Macaca fascicularis: one gene and its partner. The protein of the gene in region 2 interacts with the protein of the main gene of each other region in a pairwise test. Links are inferred from orthologs where the notes say so. Each region holds a gene or a part of one and is shown on either strand. Other genes may lie near its edges.

Region 1 (7,839 bases), on a different chromosome or scaffold from region 2:
GCGCGGTGGCTCAAGCCTGTAATCCCAGCACTTTGGGAGGCCGAGACGGGCGGATCACGAGGTCAGGAGATCGAGACCATCCTGGCTAACACAGTGAAACCCCGTCTCTACTAAAAAATACAAAAAAAAAAAAACTAGCCGGGCGAGGTGGCGGGCAACTGTAGTCCCAGCTACTCGGGAGGCTGAGGCAGGAGAATGGCGTAAACCCGGGAGGCGGAGCTTGCAGTGGGCCGAGATCCGGCCACTGCGCTCCAGCCTGGGCGACAGAGCAAGACTCTGTCTCAAAAAAAAAAAAAAAAAAAGAAGTAATATGTACACAGTAAACCCTACTAACTCTAAGTGTCATTACAGGCTGTGTCTTTTTTTTTGAGACACCAAGACAGGGTGTTGGTCTGTCATCCAGGCTAGAGTGTGGTGGCACCATCTCAGTTCCCTGCAACCTCTGCCTCCCTGGTTCAAGCGATTGTCCTGTCTTAGCCTCCCAAGTTAGCTAGGATTGCAGGCGTGTGCCACCATGCCTGGCTGATTTTTGTATTTTTAGTAGAGACGGGATTTTACCATATTGGCCAGGCTGGTTGTGAACTCTTGGCCTCAAGTGACCCATCTGCCTTGGCCTCCTAAAGTGCTGGGATTACAGGTGTAAGCCACCAGACCCAGCCTTAGACATTTTTTTGGCATGATCCTGGCCCACTAAAACCTCTGCCTCCCGGATTCAAACAGTTATCCAGCCTCAGCCTCCCAAGTAACTGAGATTACAGGCATGTGCCATCATGCCCAGCGAATTTTTTTTTTTTTTTTTAGTAGAGACAGCATTTCACCATGTTGGCCATGCTGGTCTCAAACTCCTGACCTCAGGTTATCCCCCCACCTCGGCCTCCCAAAGTGCTGGGATTACAGTGTGAGCCACTGTGCCTAGCCAAATATCTTTACTGAATGAAGACAAGGTATGTGAGGTGCAGAAGCAGGATGAACAGAAACACAGCTCAGCTAAGGAAGCATACCTGCTATGAAACCAGAGTGCTGCCCTGACTAGGGTGGGCTGGCAGAATTAGGAATATTAGTGGTTGCCTGTGTAGTATTGTCAGGTGTTGAGTTTGCTCTGTGTGTAGAGGACACCACTGAGTATGATCTCAAGTCTAAGACAGCGGTAATTCCCCTCGGGTGGAAGTGCCATCTCTGGTGCCACCACCTGGGTTCTGTGGATTAAGGGGTTCACAAAGGTATGATCTCAAGTCTAAGACAGTGATAATTCCCCTGGGATGGAAGTGGCATCTCCGGTGCCACCACCTGGGTTCTGTGGACTAAAGGGTTCACAAAGGAGCACGTGTACCTGAGTAGTGGGGAGATTGAGGAATAAAACTGGGATTTAGAAGTGGTAAGTCCTAGGTTTGAGAGGGATTGAACTATTAATAACTAAAACTGATTTTAGGCCGGGCGCGGTGGCTTAGGCCTGTAATCCTAGCACTTTGGGAGGCCTAGGTGGGCAGATCACAAGTTCAGGAGTTCGAGACCAGCTTGGCCAACATGGTGAAACTTCACCTCCACTAAAAATAGAAAAAAAATTAGCCGGGCGTGGTGGTGGGCATCTGTAATCCCAGCTTCTCAGGAGGCTGAGGCAGGAGAATCGCTTGAACCCAGGAGGCGGAGGTTACAGGGAGCCAAGATTGCGCCACTGCGCTCCAGCCGGGCGACAAAGCAAGACTCTCAAAAAAAAAAAAAAAAAACAGTGATTTTACTTTTGAAATTCTGAAAAGGTACACAAAGTTAATTACTACTAATTTGATTCCATTCTCCTTCAGTGCTCTGTCCTAAGAAGAAGGCAGAGTGCAGTGACAACCCCAGACCTCAGAGGAAGATACCAATCCCTCCATTACCCTCTAAACTGCCACCTGTTAATCTGATTCACCGGGACATTCTGCGGGCCTGGTGCCAACAATTGAAGCTGAGCTCCAAAGGCCAGGTGAGGGCCTAGGCTGGGGATGGTACTGCTGGGAGGAAGGGTAGGAACCTTACTTGCCTTACTAACTCAGTTTTCTGTTGTCTTAGAAATTGGATGCATATAAGCGCCTGTGTGCCTTTGCCTACCCAAATCAAAAGGTAACTTTTTAAAGGATGTACGTTTCAGTGCTTATCCTAATTACCTATTGTAGCCTCAAAAGTGAGTAAAGGAGCTGTCTTAGCCTCCGCTTGTCCCTCCACCCCTAGTTCTAAGAAAGAACAGTATTTTCCATGCCTGCTTTCCTTTTTTTTTTTTTTGAGATGGAGTCTCACACTGTCACCCAGACTGGAGTGCTGTGGCACCATCTCAGCTCACTGCAACCTCCACCTCCCGAATTCAAGCAATTCTCCTGCCTCAGCCTCCTAAGTAGCTGAGATTACAAGCACCCGCCACCACGCCCAGCTAATTTTTTGTATTTTTAGTAGAGGTGGGGTTTCACTATTTTGGTCAGGCTGGTCTTGAACTCCTGACCTCGTGGTCTGCCCACCTCGGCCTCCCAAGGTGCTGGGATTACAGGTGTGAGCCACCGTGCCTGGCCTTCCATCCCTACTTCTCACCAAGTCTGCAAAGAATAATAAAAATGAGGCAGCCCAGCCTGGCCAACATGGTGAAATCCTGTCTCTACTAAAAATACAAAAATTAGCCAGGTGTGGTGGTGCATGTGTGTAATCCCAGCTATTCAGGAGGCTGAGGCAGTAGAATTGCTTGAAACCAGGAGGCAGAGGTTGCCGTGAGCTGAGATGCACCATTGCACTCCAGCCTGGGCACAAGAGTGAAACGCTGTCTCAAAAATAAAAAGAGGCAGCACTTAAATTTTTTTAATTGACAAAAATTGTATATTTTTATCATGTACAGCACATGGCTTTGAAATACGTATACATTGTGGAATGGCTAACTCAAGCTAATTAATACATACATCACTTTACATACTATATTATTATTATTATTATTATTATAATTATTGAGACAGAATTTCGCTCCATGCATCCGCTGCCTCCCGGATTCAGATGATTCTCCCGCCTTAGCCTCCCGAGTAGCTGAGATTACAGGTATGCGCCACCACACCTGGCTAATTTGGATTTTTAATAGAGACGGCATTTCTCCATGTTGGTCGGGCTGGTCTCAAACTCCCGACCTCAGGTGATCTGCCCACCTCAGCCTCCCAAAGTGCTGGGATTACAGGCGTGAGCCCCACCGTGCCCAGGTTTTCTTTCTTTCTTTTTTTTTTTTTTAAGACAAAGTTTCGCTCTTGTTGCTCAGGCTGGAGTGCAGTGCGCAATCTCAGCTCACTGCAACCTCCACCTCCTGGGTTCAAGTGATTCTCCTGCCTCAGCCTCCAGAGTAGCTGGGATTACAGCACCTGCCACCACGCCTGGCTGATGTTTGTATTTTTAGTAGAGACAGGGTTTCACCATGTTGGCCAGGCTGGTCTAGAACTCCTGACCTCGTGATCCGCTCACCTCGGTCTCCCAAAGTGCTGGGATTACAGGCGTGAGCCACTGTGCCCGGCCAGCAATTTTCTTTCTTTCTTTTTTTTTTAAAGACAGAGTCTCCCTCTGTCACCTAGGCTGGAGTGCAGGCTCACTGCAACTTCCGCCTCCCTGGTTCAAGTGATACCCCAGTCTCAGCCCCCTGAGTAGCTGGGATTGCAGGCATGAACCACCACGCCTGGATAATTTTTGTATTTTTAGTAGAGATGCGGTTTCACCACGTTGGCCAGGGCTGTTCTTGAACTCCTGACCTCAAGTGTTTCACCAACCTTGGCCTCCCAAAGTGCTGGGATTACAGACCTGAGCCATGTGCAGCCAACTGTGCAATTTTCAAGAAGACAGTACATTGTAATTAACCAAGTTGTACAGTGGATCTCTTGAACCTAGACCTCCTGTCTAAGTGAAACTTTGCATTTGATCAAGAACTTCTTAACTCTGAGGCCATTTATTTTTGTTAGAATTTTAATCTTTATTTTTATCTTTATTATCTAACCCTTTCTGTAGGATTTTCCTAGCACAGCAAAAGAGGCCAAAATCCGGAAATCATTGAAAAAAAAATTAAAGGTGGAAAAAGGGGAAACGTCCCTGCAAAGTTCTGAGACACATCCTCCTGAAGTGGCCCTTCCCCCTGCGGAGGGGCCGCCTGCCCTGGAAGATTCCACTGCTCTCCTTGAGGGAGTTAATACAGTTGTGGTGACAACTTCTGCCCCAGAGGCTTTGCTGGCCTCCTGGGCGAGAATTTCGGCCAGGGCGAGGACGCCAGAGGCAGTGGAATCTCCACAAGAGGCCTGTGGTAAGCCCAACACGAAGAGCTTATTCTGGTCCAGTGGGGAAATAAGCTTAGTAGAGATTAATGCCTGATATATTTTTAGGGTATATCAAAATGCCTTTGAGGGCCGGCGATTCCTGGACCCTGCCCACAGAGTTTCTAATTCAGGTCTAGGACAGGACCTGAGCATTTGCATTTCTTTCTTTTTTTTTTTGAGACAGAGTTTCGTTCTTGTTGCCCAGGCTAGAGTGCAGTGGTGCGATCTTGGCTCACCACAACCTCAACCTCCCGGGTTCCAGCAATTCGCCTGCTTCAGCCTTCCTGAGTAGCTGGGATTACAGGCAGGCGCAACCATGCCCGGCTAATTTTGTATTTTTAATAGAGACGGGTTTTCTCCATGTTGGTCAGGCTGGTCTCAAACTCCTGACCTCAGATGATCCGCCTGCCTCGGCCTCCCAGAATGCTGGGATTACAGGTGTGAGCCACTGCACCCAGCGAGAGTTTGCATTTCTCAGTTTTCCGGGCAGCAGTAAGGATGCTGGTCTGGGGACCACAGTTTGAGAACCACTGCTTTAAATGATTGATGGCATCAGAAGAGGATAGCAGTTTGGTTTTCTTTCTTTCCCCTTTAAGCAATTTTATTTTATTTTATTTTTTTTTTTTTGAGACAGAGTCTCGCTTAGTCGCCCAGGCTGGAGTGCAGTGGCGCGATCTCGGCTCACTGCAAGCTCCGCCTCCCGGGTTCACGCCATTCTCCTGCCTCAGCCTCCCGAGTAGTTGGGACTACAGGCGCCCGCCGCCTCGCCCGGCTAATTTTTTGCATTTTTAGTAGAGACGGGGTTTCACAGTGTTAGCCAGGATGGTCTCGATCTCCTGACCTTGTGATCCGCCCGCCTCGGCCTCCCAAAGTGCTGGGATTACAGGCGTGAGCCACCGCACCCGGCCTAAGCAATTTAAAAGTAAGATCTAAAATTAATTGCCTGCAGCTGAGCCCCAGAATGGCATTAATAAGTTATTTAAAATATTTCCCAGTGTTTTCATTGTAAAATGGGCGACACCTAGCTTATATGTTGTAAGAATTACAGAAAATACAACAAAAGAAGACAATAAACTGTTTAGCACAATCCAATGTGTGTTCAGAGCTGGGGCCCCTGAGCTTGTTTCATGAAGCCCTTTCCAGACACTCTGGGTTAGTCTTTCTACCATCTGCCCACCTACAACTATACTACTTCCAACTAGATTTATTTATTTGTTTGTTTGTTTGTTTATTTGAGACGGAGTCTTGCTCTGTCGCCCAGGCTGTAGTACAGTGGTGTGATCATGGCTCACTGCGAGCTCCGCCTCCCAGGTTCACGCCATTCTCCTGCCTCATTCTCCCAAGTAGCTGGGACTACAGGCGCCCGCCGCCACGCCCGGCTAATTTGTATTTTTAGTAGAGACGGGGTTTCACAGTGTTAGCCAGGATGGTCTCGATATCCTGACCTCATGATCCGCCCGCCTTGGCCTCCCAAAGTGCTGGGATTACAGGCATGAGCCACCGTGCCCCGCCTAGATTTTTAAGTTTTAACAGGAACTGTCTTGTATGCTTTTCTAAAGGAGAACAGAATAGAGAAGAGGTTAAGTTAGGATTTCAGGGTTCACATCTTGGAGTTGGTCAATCAAGGGTGATGGGCCATAATGCAGCCTTACTTCGGTATGTCATCCTGGTGTGTGGGTGCCTGTCTCTCTCCTTCGCCAGGTGTCAGGTGGTGTGTGGTCCATGGGAAAAGTCTCCCTGCAGACACAGATGGTTGGGTTCACCTGCAGTTTCATGCTGGTCAAGCCTGGGTTCCAGAAAAGCAAGAAGGGAGAGTGAGTGCACTCTTCTTGCTTCCTGCCTCCAATTTTCCACCCCCGCATCTTGAAGACAATATGTTGTGCCCCAAATGTGTTCACAGGTAATTACCTGATGCTTTTCTACAAACTAAAAGTGGGTGCTGGATTTTCAATTGCAGAAAGTCAAGATACACATTAATCTTATATAGCCATGTATTTCAAGCTCAAATTGTCAGTAAAGAGTTTCAAGAAAATCATTACTCAGTTAAGTTTATCCCCAGGAAACAGAAAGCATTTCTGTGTCAGGGTTTAACGCTTCTACCTGGAGACACAGAATTCTGGGAGCAACAAACATTGTATAATTACTATATTCAAAGTGTATGCCCTACACAGAAATAATGACTAGTAGAAAAGCTCTTCCTTTAAGTAGCCTACAGTCTAAACAGGGATGGTGCACATACAAACACCTGGAATAACGTCAATATCAAAGAAGAGATTCCTTAAGTTAAGGGAAGAATTGACTAGATCGGTAATTTCTCAGCCAGGGAAACATAGCAAGACCATCTCCCACAGGAGGAAGTGTGTGAATGTGTGATTGGCTTTTCCTTTGGGATATCCTGCTTTTTGCTGTATTTTGATAATCTCTCTATGCCAAGCAAGTTGAATAGAAGTGAGGAGGTCACTTTGGGTAGTCCTTTAATGACATACTTGGGTTTTTGGGAAAGTGATGCAAAGAGCCCCTCCAAGGTCTCTTGTCCATGGTTCGCACAAGTCGGGGAACATATTTCAGAGGCATGCTAACTTGGCTAATGATCTTCATTCTCGAATGACAGCGTCATAGGCTTGTTACCTATGATCCTAAAGTTGTAAGGGCAATTTCAACAGCATTCCAGCAACGGGTTTCTTGGCTATTTTTGATATTTCTTGATTCTTAACTTTTTGAAAACAAACATTTTATTTGCTTTATAGGAACAAGGTCTTAATAAAAAGCCTCCAATGGGAATAGAATATCAGGAAAAAGGCCACATCTATGGTAATTAATGGCAGAAAGTCTGGAGAGTCGGATTCCGCGGGGCTGCTGACAGGTGAACTCTGGTCCTCTGCACACCTGTTTATGGACCATGCAGACTGGTGGGGTGGCAGATGTTAGCCTAAGAGCCCTAGCAGTGCCTGTTGCTTTGTGAGTGGAGATAGAGACTCTCAGATTTAAAAACGGAAAAACATTTCGCAAATTACCATAAATTGTAGCTAATATATAGAAAAACTCATTCGTACTACTTTTCTAAAATAGACATGACTTCAGCAGCAGCTCTGTTTTGTTTTGTCTTTTGAGACAGTGTCTCACTCTGTTGCCCAGGCTGGAGTGCACTTGTTCAATCTCAGTTCAGTGCAATCTCTGCCTCCTGAGTTCAAGTGATTCTCCTGCCTCAGCCTCCTGAGTAGCTGGGATTACAGGCACCAGCCACCACACCCAGCTTTTTTTTTTTTTTTTTTTTAAGTAGAGATGGGGTTTCCCTATGTTGGCCAGGTTAGTCTCGAACTCCTGGACTCAAGTAATCACCCGCCTCGGCCTTCCAAAATACTGGGATTATGGGCATGAGCCACTGTGCCTGATCTTCAACAGGTCTTTTAAGTGAGAAGTTCTTCAGCTGAGCATTGTGAAGGAGTTGAGTAAAACTCAACTGGCTCTTGTGCTCAATTTTCTTTTCCTCTGAACACTGACTACTTTAGGAGCTGCTTCATTCCAATTGCAATTTCATAAAACA
Region 2 (8,344 bases):
CCTATCTCAGAAATTTGAGGGTACAGCAGAGTGACCATGCTGTCTCTCCTTCCAGGATTTGAACCCTAGCTCCTCACTGTGCCAACGTGTATCTCTGTACACGTTACTTAAACTCTCTGAGCTTCAGTTTTCTCTTCTGTATGATGGGGATACTTGTCAAAGAAGGTGGTTGAGAGGATTAAATGAGATGATGCGTATGAAGGCAGTCAGCACAGTGCCTGGCAGACGGTCATCTCTGAATAAATGTTAGTGGTCCTGAAACGCTTATGGAGTACCTCGTAGACTAGCTGCTTGGACTTTAAGGACATACACAGAACTACAAATGAAAAATTACAGTAAAATGGGTAAGAGCTGTCATGGGAATAATTTGGACGTATTGCTGTTGATGGAGAGGGAGTGATAGGGTGGTTAAGAAAGGGGAGACGGCCGGGCGCGGTGGCTCAAGCCTGTAATCCCAGCACTTTGGGAGGCCGAGATGGGCGGATCACGAGGTCAGGAGATCGAGACCATCCTGGCTAACACGGTGAAACCCCGTCTCTACTAAAAATACAAAAAACTAGCCGGGCGAGGTGGCGGGCGCCTGTAGTCCCAGCTACTCGGGAGGCTGAGGCCGGAGAATGGCGTGAACCCAGGAGGTGGAGCTTGCAGTGAGCTGAGATCTGGCCACTGCACTCTAGCCTGGGCTACAGAGCTAGACTCCGTCTCAAAAAAAAAAAAAAAAAAAAAAAGAAAGGGGAGACATTCGGGCCGGGCGCAGTGGCTCACGCCTGTAATCCCAGCAATTTGGGAGGCCGAGGAGGGCGGATCACGACGTCAGCAGATGGAGACCATCCTAGCCAACACGGTGAAACCCCATCTCTACTAAAAAAAAAAAAATACAAAAAACATTAGCCGGGCATGGTGGCGGGCGCCTGTAGTCCCACCTATTGGGGAGGCTGAGGCAGGAGAATGGCGTGAACCCAGGAGGTGGAGCTTGCAGTGAGCCAAGATGGCACCACTGCACTCCAGCCTGGGTGACAGAGCGAGACTCCATCTCAAAAAACAAAAACATAAAGAAAGGGAAGACATTTGAATTTGAGACTCCAAAGTGGGTAGAAGAGCATTCCAGGCCAGGCACAGTGGCTCTCGCCTGTAATCCCAGCACTCTGGGAGGCCGATGTGGGCGGATCACGAGGTCGGGAGATGGAGACCATCCTGGCTAACACGGTGAAACCTCGTCTCGACCAAAAATACGAACATTATTAGCTGGGCATGGTGGCAGGCGCCTGTAGTCCCAGCTACTTGGGAGGCTAAGGCAGGGAGAATCACTTGAACCCGGGAGGTGGCGGTTGCAGTGAGCTGTGATCGCACCACTGCACTCCAGCCTGGGCGTCAGAGCAAGAATCCATCTGAAAAAAAAAAGAGAGACTATGGCTCAATTTTATGCTCTGAGCTAACCTGGGAGTTTGAACACCTGAAGACTGTTAAACGTTTTACACAAGGTAGCAACACATTCAGATTTGTATACATATATACTTTTTTGAGACAGGATCTCCCTCTGTCGCCCAGGCTGGAGTGTAATGGTGGGATCTCAGCTCACTGCAACCTCTGTCTCCCGGGTTCAAGCGATTCTCCTGCCTCATCTTCCTGAGTAGCTGGGATTACAGGCAGCCACTATCACGCCCAGCTAATTTTTGTATTAGTAGAGACGCGGTTTCACCATATTGGTCAGCCTGGTCTAGAACTCCTGACCTCAGGTGATCCGCCTGCCTCAGCCTCCCAAAGTGTTGGGATTACAGGCGTGAGCCACCGTGCCCAGCCAGATCTGTATTTTAGAAAACTCAGTGGGAGCTGTTTGCAGTGCAATTAGAGGCAACCAGACGAAAGGGCACCAGCGAGCAAGCCACTCATAGGAACACAGTCCAGAGTGACCATGACGGCAGTGAAAGTAGGAGATGCCCCTGGCTACAATTTAGTGTTTAGAAGTATCTGGGCAGGTGACCCCAAAGCCTCAAAAGAGAGGAGAACTCTGTACTTCACGTGGCTTGGCACACTCTGCTCCCTTTGCTTTGAATGTCCTTCCCCTTTTGTCATTCAGCAGTCAACACATGCTACCTCCTCTGGGAAGCCCTCTTGGATTACTCCGCAGACTGGATGGAGGGGGGCTCTGCTCTGTGTTCATGTCCGTTTCCCATGATAGCGCTTGTCAGCATTTGTCATCCTTTTGTCATGCAGTTTCCTGGTTCCTCTCACTGGTGTGTGAGTTTGAGGAGTGCAGGGCCCAGCATCCATCACCTTTGCACCCGCAGTGCAGGTGGAGTGTCCATAACAATGTCCTGAATGAATCAATGAAAATGAGAACGTCAGCCGGCCTGTGGAGAAGCTAGAGGAACGAGAAGAAACAGACCGACATGGCCGGGAGCGATGTTTCTCGCCTGTAATCCCAGCACTTTGGGAGACCGAAGCGGGTGGATCACCCGAGGTCAGGAGTTCGAGACCAGCCTGGCCAACATGGTGAAACCCCCGTCTCTACTAAAAATACAAAAATTAGCCAGGCGTGGTGGCGCTCGCCTGTAATCCCAGCTACTTGGGAGGCGGAGGCAGGAGAATCGCTTGAACGCGGGAGGCGGAGGTTGCGGTGAGCCGAGATCGCGGCACTGCACTCCAGTCTGGGCGACAGAGACACCGTCTGAAAAAACAAAATAAGAAAAAGAAAAGAGAAACAGACTGATATCCCAGGAAGCCTGGCCGAGAACTGAGGCCCCAGGGCCACACGCGTCTTTTCTCCTGCAATCCTGTCTGGGAGCCGCCGCCTAGAAGTCCCGGGCAGTCCGGGAACGCGAGCCTGAAGCAGCACCGCGCGGTCGGCGGCGCAGGCGCACGTCTCTGCGGGAGGCCGCGAGGCCCCGCCCCCGGGCCCTAGACCCCGCCTCCCATCCCCCTCATCCCCGGGCCGGGCAGGGCGGCACCGCCCATGAGGCCGCATGCGCAGTGCGCGCGCGAGGGCGCCTTGCCCTTCTCCCAATGGCGGGCCGCGGGCCCCTTCCCGGCAGCCTCCCTCGGGCAGGGAGCGCGTCATTTCCGGTGGGGAAGGCCCGCGGCTGCCGCCGCCATTTCGGGCGCTGCTGTGAAGCTGAAACCGGAGCCGGTCCGCTGGGCGGCGGGCGCCGGGGGCCGGAGGGGCGCGCGCGGCGGCGGCACCCCAGCGTTTAGGCGCGGAGGCAGCCATGGCGGGCAACTTCGACTCGGAGGAGCGGAGTAGCTGGTACTGGGGGCGGTTGAGTCGGCAGGAGGCGGTGGCGCTGCTGCAGGGCCAGCGGCACGGGGTGTTCCTGGTGCGGGACTCGAGCACCAGCCCCGGGGACTATGTGCTCAGCGTCTCAGAGAACTCGCGCGTCTCCCACTACATCATCAACAGCAGCGGCCCGCGCCCGCCAGTGCCGCCGTCGCCCGCCCAACCTCCGCCGGGTGAGGGACTGACGGGACGGGGGGCCCTGGGCGGGGTGAGGGCCGCGGAGCTCCCAGCCCGGCTGGCTGCTCCTTGAGAGCGGACCCTCGGGGTCGTGGGCAGAGGGCTGGGTGACCGTGGCAGGGGCCCGCCGGCTGCTGGGGCTCATTCCCACCCGGGGAACAGGAGTGTGGGGGAGGAGGAGCCGCGGACCGAGGCCCCGGGGTGTGCCTGGGAAGGGCAGCCCCGGGGAAGGGGAACTGCTTCGGCCCCAGGGTGGGGCTGGCTCCCGGGCCAGGCGCAAGGGTAGGGCAGGGCAAGGCAACGTGGGGACAAAGAGCTGAGGGAGATGTTGGCACTGCGGGGGCATCACTTGGCAGCGGCGCCCAGAATGAATCCGATAATCCTACAAGTGGCTTTTGGGCTGGAAGCGTTTCCTGCCGTGTTGGAGAGCCGGGTTTGGCCGTGCTCCCCTGGTGGCCTTTGGTAGGAAGTCACCACAAACTGGCCGGGAGGGATGGAGACACCCTCAGGAAACCGGTTAGTTTTTTCCTTTCTTGGGCATTTTTCCAAAATCCTTGTACCGTCCTCTTCCCCCGTGGAGGACGAAGGTGGTGAATTAAGTGATAGAAGAAAGCCTTCAGTGACCAGCCCAACCCAGTTTAAGGCGATGCCTGGCTGCGTGCAGGACATCTAAGCGTCCAGAAGACTGTCCGCCGGTAGAGGGTTCTGGTTTTCAAAGTGTTTAGTGGAGGAAAGACATTTTATTCCAGAGAATAAACCAGAAATGAGGCAGTGGAAACAGACCCTTCCCTGGATGTGACTGGAGCTTCATTTTCCTTGGACTTAAACATTGTCAGTGTGTACTTCAGGGCGTGACCTTGCTCAGTAAGATGGGGCTGCGGGCTGAGTCTTCCTGGATGCTGGGAACAGACTCTACGCCAAGAACATAAATTACCTGCGCTGGGTTTTTCTTGCCAGGGATCCCTGAGATTGACTGTCTTTCCGATGCCGTTGGAGTTGATTTGGGAGTGTTTCAAGGGAATAGATAGATGCCCTTAGTACTGGAGATTTGTGAGGTACGAAGTAATTCTGGGGTTCTCATTGTATGTGTACCTGTTTAACAGCATCAGGAGTCCTCGTGCCTTCACACTGTTGCCAAGTCGAAGCTGTTTCTTCTTGGCCGCTGAGACTGGGTTCAGACTAGTCTCCTATGAATCAGGAAGCTCCTGAGCCATCCTCTCTAGACTTTCTCTTGTAGGATCGTTCTAATTTAGATTTACTTGTTCCGGCCAGAAATGGAGAATTGAATAGCCAGTCTCTTTGTTATTAACACATACCAATTTTTATTTTACTTTTTCCTGAGACGGAGTCTCGCTCTGTCGCCCATGCTGGAGCGCAGTAGCACGATCTCGGCTCATGGCCACCTCCACCTCCCCGGGGCTCCCGGGTTCAAGATTCTCCTGCCTCAGTCTCCCGAGTAGCTGGGATTACAGGCACCCACCACCACAACCAGCTAATGTTGTATTTCTAGTAGAGACAAGATTTCACCAGATTGGCCAGGCTGGTCTCAAACTCCTGACCTCAGGTGATCCACCCTCCCAAAATGCTGGGATTACAGGTATGAGCCACCGTGCCTGGCCAACACATAACCAATTTTTTTCTTATTTTATTTATTTATTTATTATTTATTTATTTTGAGACAGAGTCTCTCTCTGTCACCCAGGCTGGAGTGCAGTGGCGCCATCTTGGCTCACTGCAACCTCCGCCTTTTGGGTTCAAGTGATTCTCCTGCCTCAGCCTCCTAAGTAGCTGGGATTACCAGTGCCTGTCACCACGCCCATCTAATTTTTGTATTTTTAGTAGAGATGGGGTTTTACCAGGTTGACCAGGTGGGTCTTGAACTCCTGACCTCAGGTAATCCACTCGCCTTTGCCCCCTCAAAGTGCTGGGATTACGGGTGTGAGCCACCGCACCCAGCTTTGTTTGTTTGAGGCGGAGTTTCACTTTTGTTGCCCAGGCTGGAGTTCAGTGGTGTGATCTCAGCTCACTGCAATCTCTACGTCGTGGGTTCAAAGGATTCTCTTGCTTCAGCCTCCCTAGTAGCTGGGATTACAGGCACACGCCACCATGCCTGGCTAGTTTTTGTATTTTTAGTAGAGATGGGGTTTCACCATGTTGACCAGGCTGGTCTCGAACTCCTGACCTCAGGTGATCCGCCCGCCTCAGCCTCCCAAAGTGCTGGGATTACAGGTGTGAGCCACCACACCCAGCCCAACACATAACTATTTTTAGAAAATGAGTATGGGGTCTATAAGTTCACAAATTATTGTAGATCTTTCTCATTCTGGCCAGTTTAATGGTGTTATGAGATGGGAATATTGATGTACCTGTGTTGGCCCTGAACCAGATATATGCTACTTTGATGCCACCTGCGTGGTATCTGGGGTTTTGCATTATATGTAGTAACATGATGGCAAACTTACTGAAACTCACTTTTCAGCCTTTTGTTTGTGTTTGTTGGTTGCCAGAGTTGAAAATGGCAGCCGGCAGGTTTGTTAGCTTGATATTTTTTCACATCTTAGCATAACGATTTTTATATCTCAAGCCTTACTTGGATAATGGAGCACCACCTTTTCAAAACAGATAAGAACTCAGTTCCTTGGCCCAGGAAAGAAGGTGAAGATTGCCAAAGTTTGTGGATGGGGTGTGGAATATTCACGAGTGTTGTGATAATTCTGCCATATTGTACCCCATTTTCTACGATTCAGTTGCTGTCTTTTCTCTCTTCTGAGACAGGGCCTTTGTCTCTCAAGCTGGAGTGCAGTGGCATGAACACAGCTCACTGCAGCCTTGACCTCCCGGGCTCAAGCCATCCTCCCACTTTAGCCTCCTGAGCAGCTGGGACTACAGGCATATCCACCATGCCTGGTTAACTGTTTAACTTTTTTTTGTGGAGATGAGGGGTTTCACTGTGTTGTCCAGGCTAGTCTCAAATTCTTGGTCTCAAGAGATCCTCCCGCTTCAGACTCCCAAAGTGCTGGAATTGCAGGTGTGAGCCACTGTGCCTGGCTCAGTTGCTGTCTTGTTTGTTTGTTTGTTTGTTTTTTGAGGCAGAGTTTTTTTTTTTTTTTTTTTTTTTTTTTGAGACAGAGTCTGGCTCTGCCGCCCAGGCTGGAGTGCAGTGGCCGGATCTCAGCTCACTGCAAGCTCCGCCTCCCGGGTTCACGCCATTCTCCAGCCTCAGCCTCCCAAGTAGCTGGGACTACAGGCGCCCGCCGCCTCGCCCGGCTAGTTTTTTGTATTTCTTAATAGAGACGGGGTTTCACCGTGTTAGCCAGGATGGTCTCGATCTCCTGACCTCGTGATCCGCCCGTCTCGGCCTCCCAAAGTGCTGGGATTACAGGCTTGAGCCACCGCGCCCGGCCGAGGCAGAGTTTTTACTCTTGTCTCCCACGCCAGAGTGCAATGGCGTGATACTGACTCACTGCAATCTCCGTCTCCCAGGTTCAAACAATTCTCCTGCCTCACCCTCCTGAGTAGCTGGAATTATAGAGGCCCACCACCATGCTCAGCTAATTTTTGTATTTTTTAGTAGAGATGGGGTTTCGCCATGTTGGCCAGGCTGGTCTGGAACTGCTGAACTCTGATGATCCACCCGCCTCGGCCTCCCAAAGTGCTGGGCCTGAGCCACCGCACCCGGCCTGTCTGTATAACCTCAGAATTACTTTGTACCTCAAGTGCTAAGTGCTTTGTACCTCAAATCTCAAGTGCTAAGTACTGAATCTTTGTTTTTCCTCTCACCAAGTCCTTTTGAAGTCACACAGAGAAATTTCTTGAATTTTAAAGAGGCGTATACAATATTAATAACTAATGTTTATTGACTGGTTATTCTGTGCCAGGTACTTTGCTTGAGTACTTTATGTGCCTTATTTCACCTGCTGTCTAGGACAGTCTGGTGAGATAAGTAATATGATCTCCATTTATTAAAATATTCCCATTTTATACAGGAGGAAACACTCAGATTCAGTAACTTGCTTAAGGTCACACAGCTAGTAAATGACTTTCCAAAGTTGAACCTAGGCATTCTGACCTGAGAACTGACCCTTTTATGCTACACTTGTCAGAACCAGCGTCCTTTTGGGATGTCAGCAATGCATGTGGAGGTCTGTATCCTCAATATCCTCAGTACTTTGTTTTGTTTTTTTGGATGGAGTTTCGCTTTTGTTGTCCCCCAGGCTACTAGAGTGCAGTGGTGCAGTCTCGGCTCACTGAAACCTCCCCTTCCCTGGGTCAAGTGATTCTCCTTTCTCAGCCTCCTGAGTAGCTAGGATTACAGGCATGCGCCACCATGCCCGGCTAATTTTTTTTTTTTTGTATTTTTGGTAGACACAGGTTTCACCGTGTTGGCCAGGCTGGTCTCGAACTCCTGACCTCAGGTAATCTGCCTGTCTCAGCCTTGTGTTTTTTTTTTTCCCCACCGTGTTGCTCAAACTGGAGTGCAGTGGCTGTTGACAGGCACAGTCATAGTACACTACAGCCCTTAACTTTGGGGCAGGCAGTCCTCCTGACTCAGGCTCTGAGTAGCTGGGACTTCCAGCATGTACAGCTGCATCCAACCCAGGTTTTTTTAAAGATCAGAATTAAAGAATGGCAAGAAGAGGCCGGGCGCGGTGGCTCACGCCTGCAATCCCAGCATTTTGGGAGGCCAAGGCAGGCAGATCATTTGAGGCCGGGAGTTAGAGACCAGCCTGGCCAACATGGTGAAACCCCATCTCTCCTAAAAAATACAAAAATTAGCAGGGCGTGGTGGCATGCGCCTGTAATCCCAGCGACTGGAGAGATTGAGGCACAAGAATCGCTTGAACTTCGGAGGCAGAGGTTGCAGTGCGCCGAGATCATGCCACTGGCTTTATC

What was found. The genes of interacting proteins can lie anywhere in the genome.
Region 1: the proteins of CRK (region 2) and DPPA4 interact in binary tests that used the Homo sapiens proteins (3 or more experiments, as listed by UniProt). The two-hybrid records come from large-scale screens. The link is inferred for Macaca fascicularis from reciprocal best matches to the Homo sapiens genes CRK and DPPA4.

What each region holds. Positions count from the first base shown.
Region 1 is NC_088376.1:173,736,840-173,744,678, forward strand, and holds part of DPPA4 (developmental pluripotency-associated protein 4), read left to right. Parts: intron 1-1,799; coding exon 1,800-1,960; intron 1,961-2,046; coding exon 2,047-2,097; intron 2,098-3,993; coding exon 3,994-4,282; intron 4,283-5,996; coding exon 5,997-6,195; intron 6,196-7,042; coding exon 7,043-7,079; 3' UTR 7,080-7,839. UniProt on the Homo sapiens protein: May be involved in the maintenance of active epigenetic status of target genes. May inhibit differentiation of embryonic cells into a primitive ectoderm lineage.
Region 2 is NC_088390.1:1,560,178-1,568,521, reverse strand, and holds the start of CRK (adapter molecule crk), read left to right. Parts: upstream 1-3,062; 5' UTR 3,063-3,206; coding exon 3,207-3,447; intron 3,448-8,344. UniProt on the Homo sapiens protein: Involved in cell branching and adhesion mediated by BCAR1-CRK-RAPGEF1 signaling and activation of RAP1.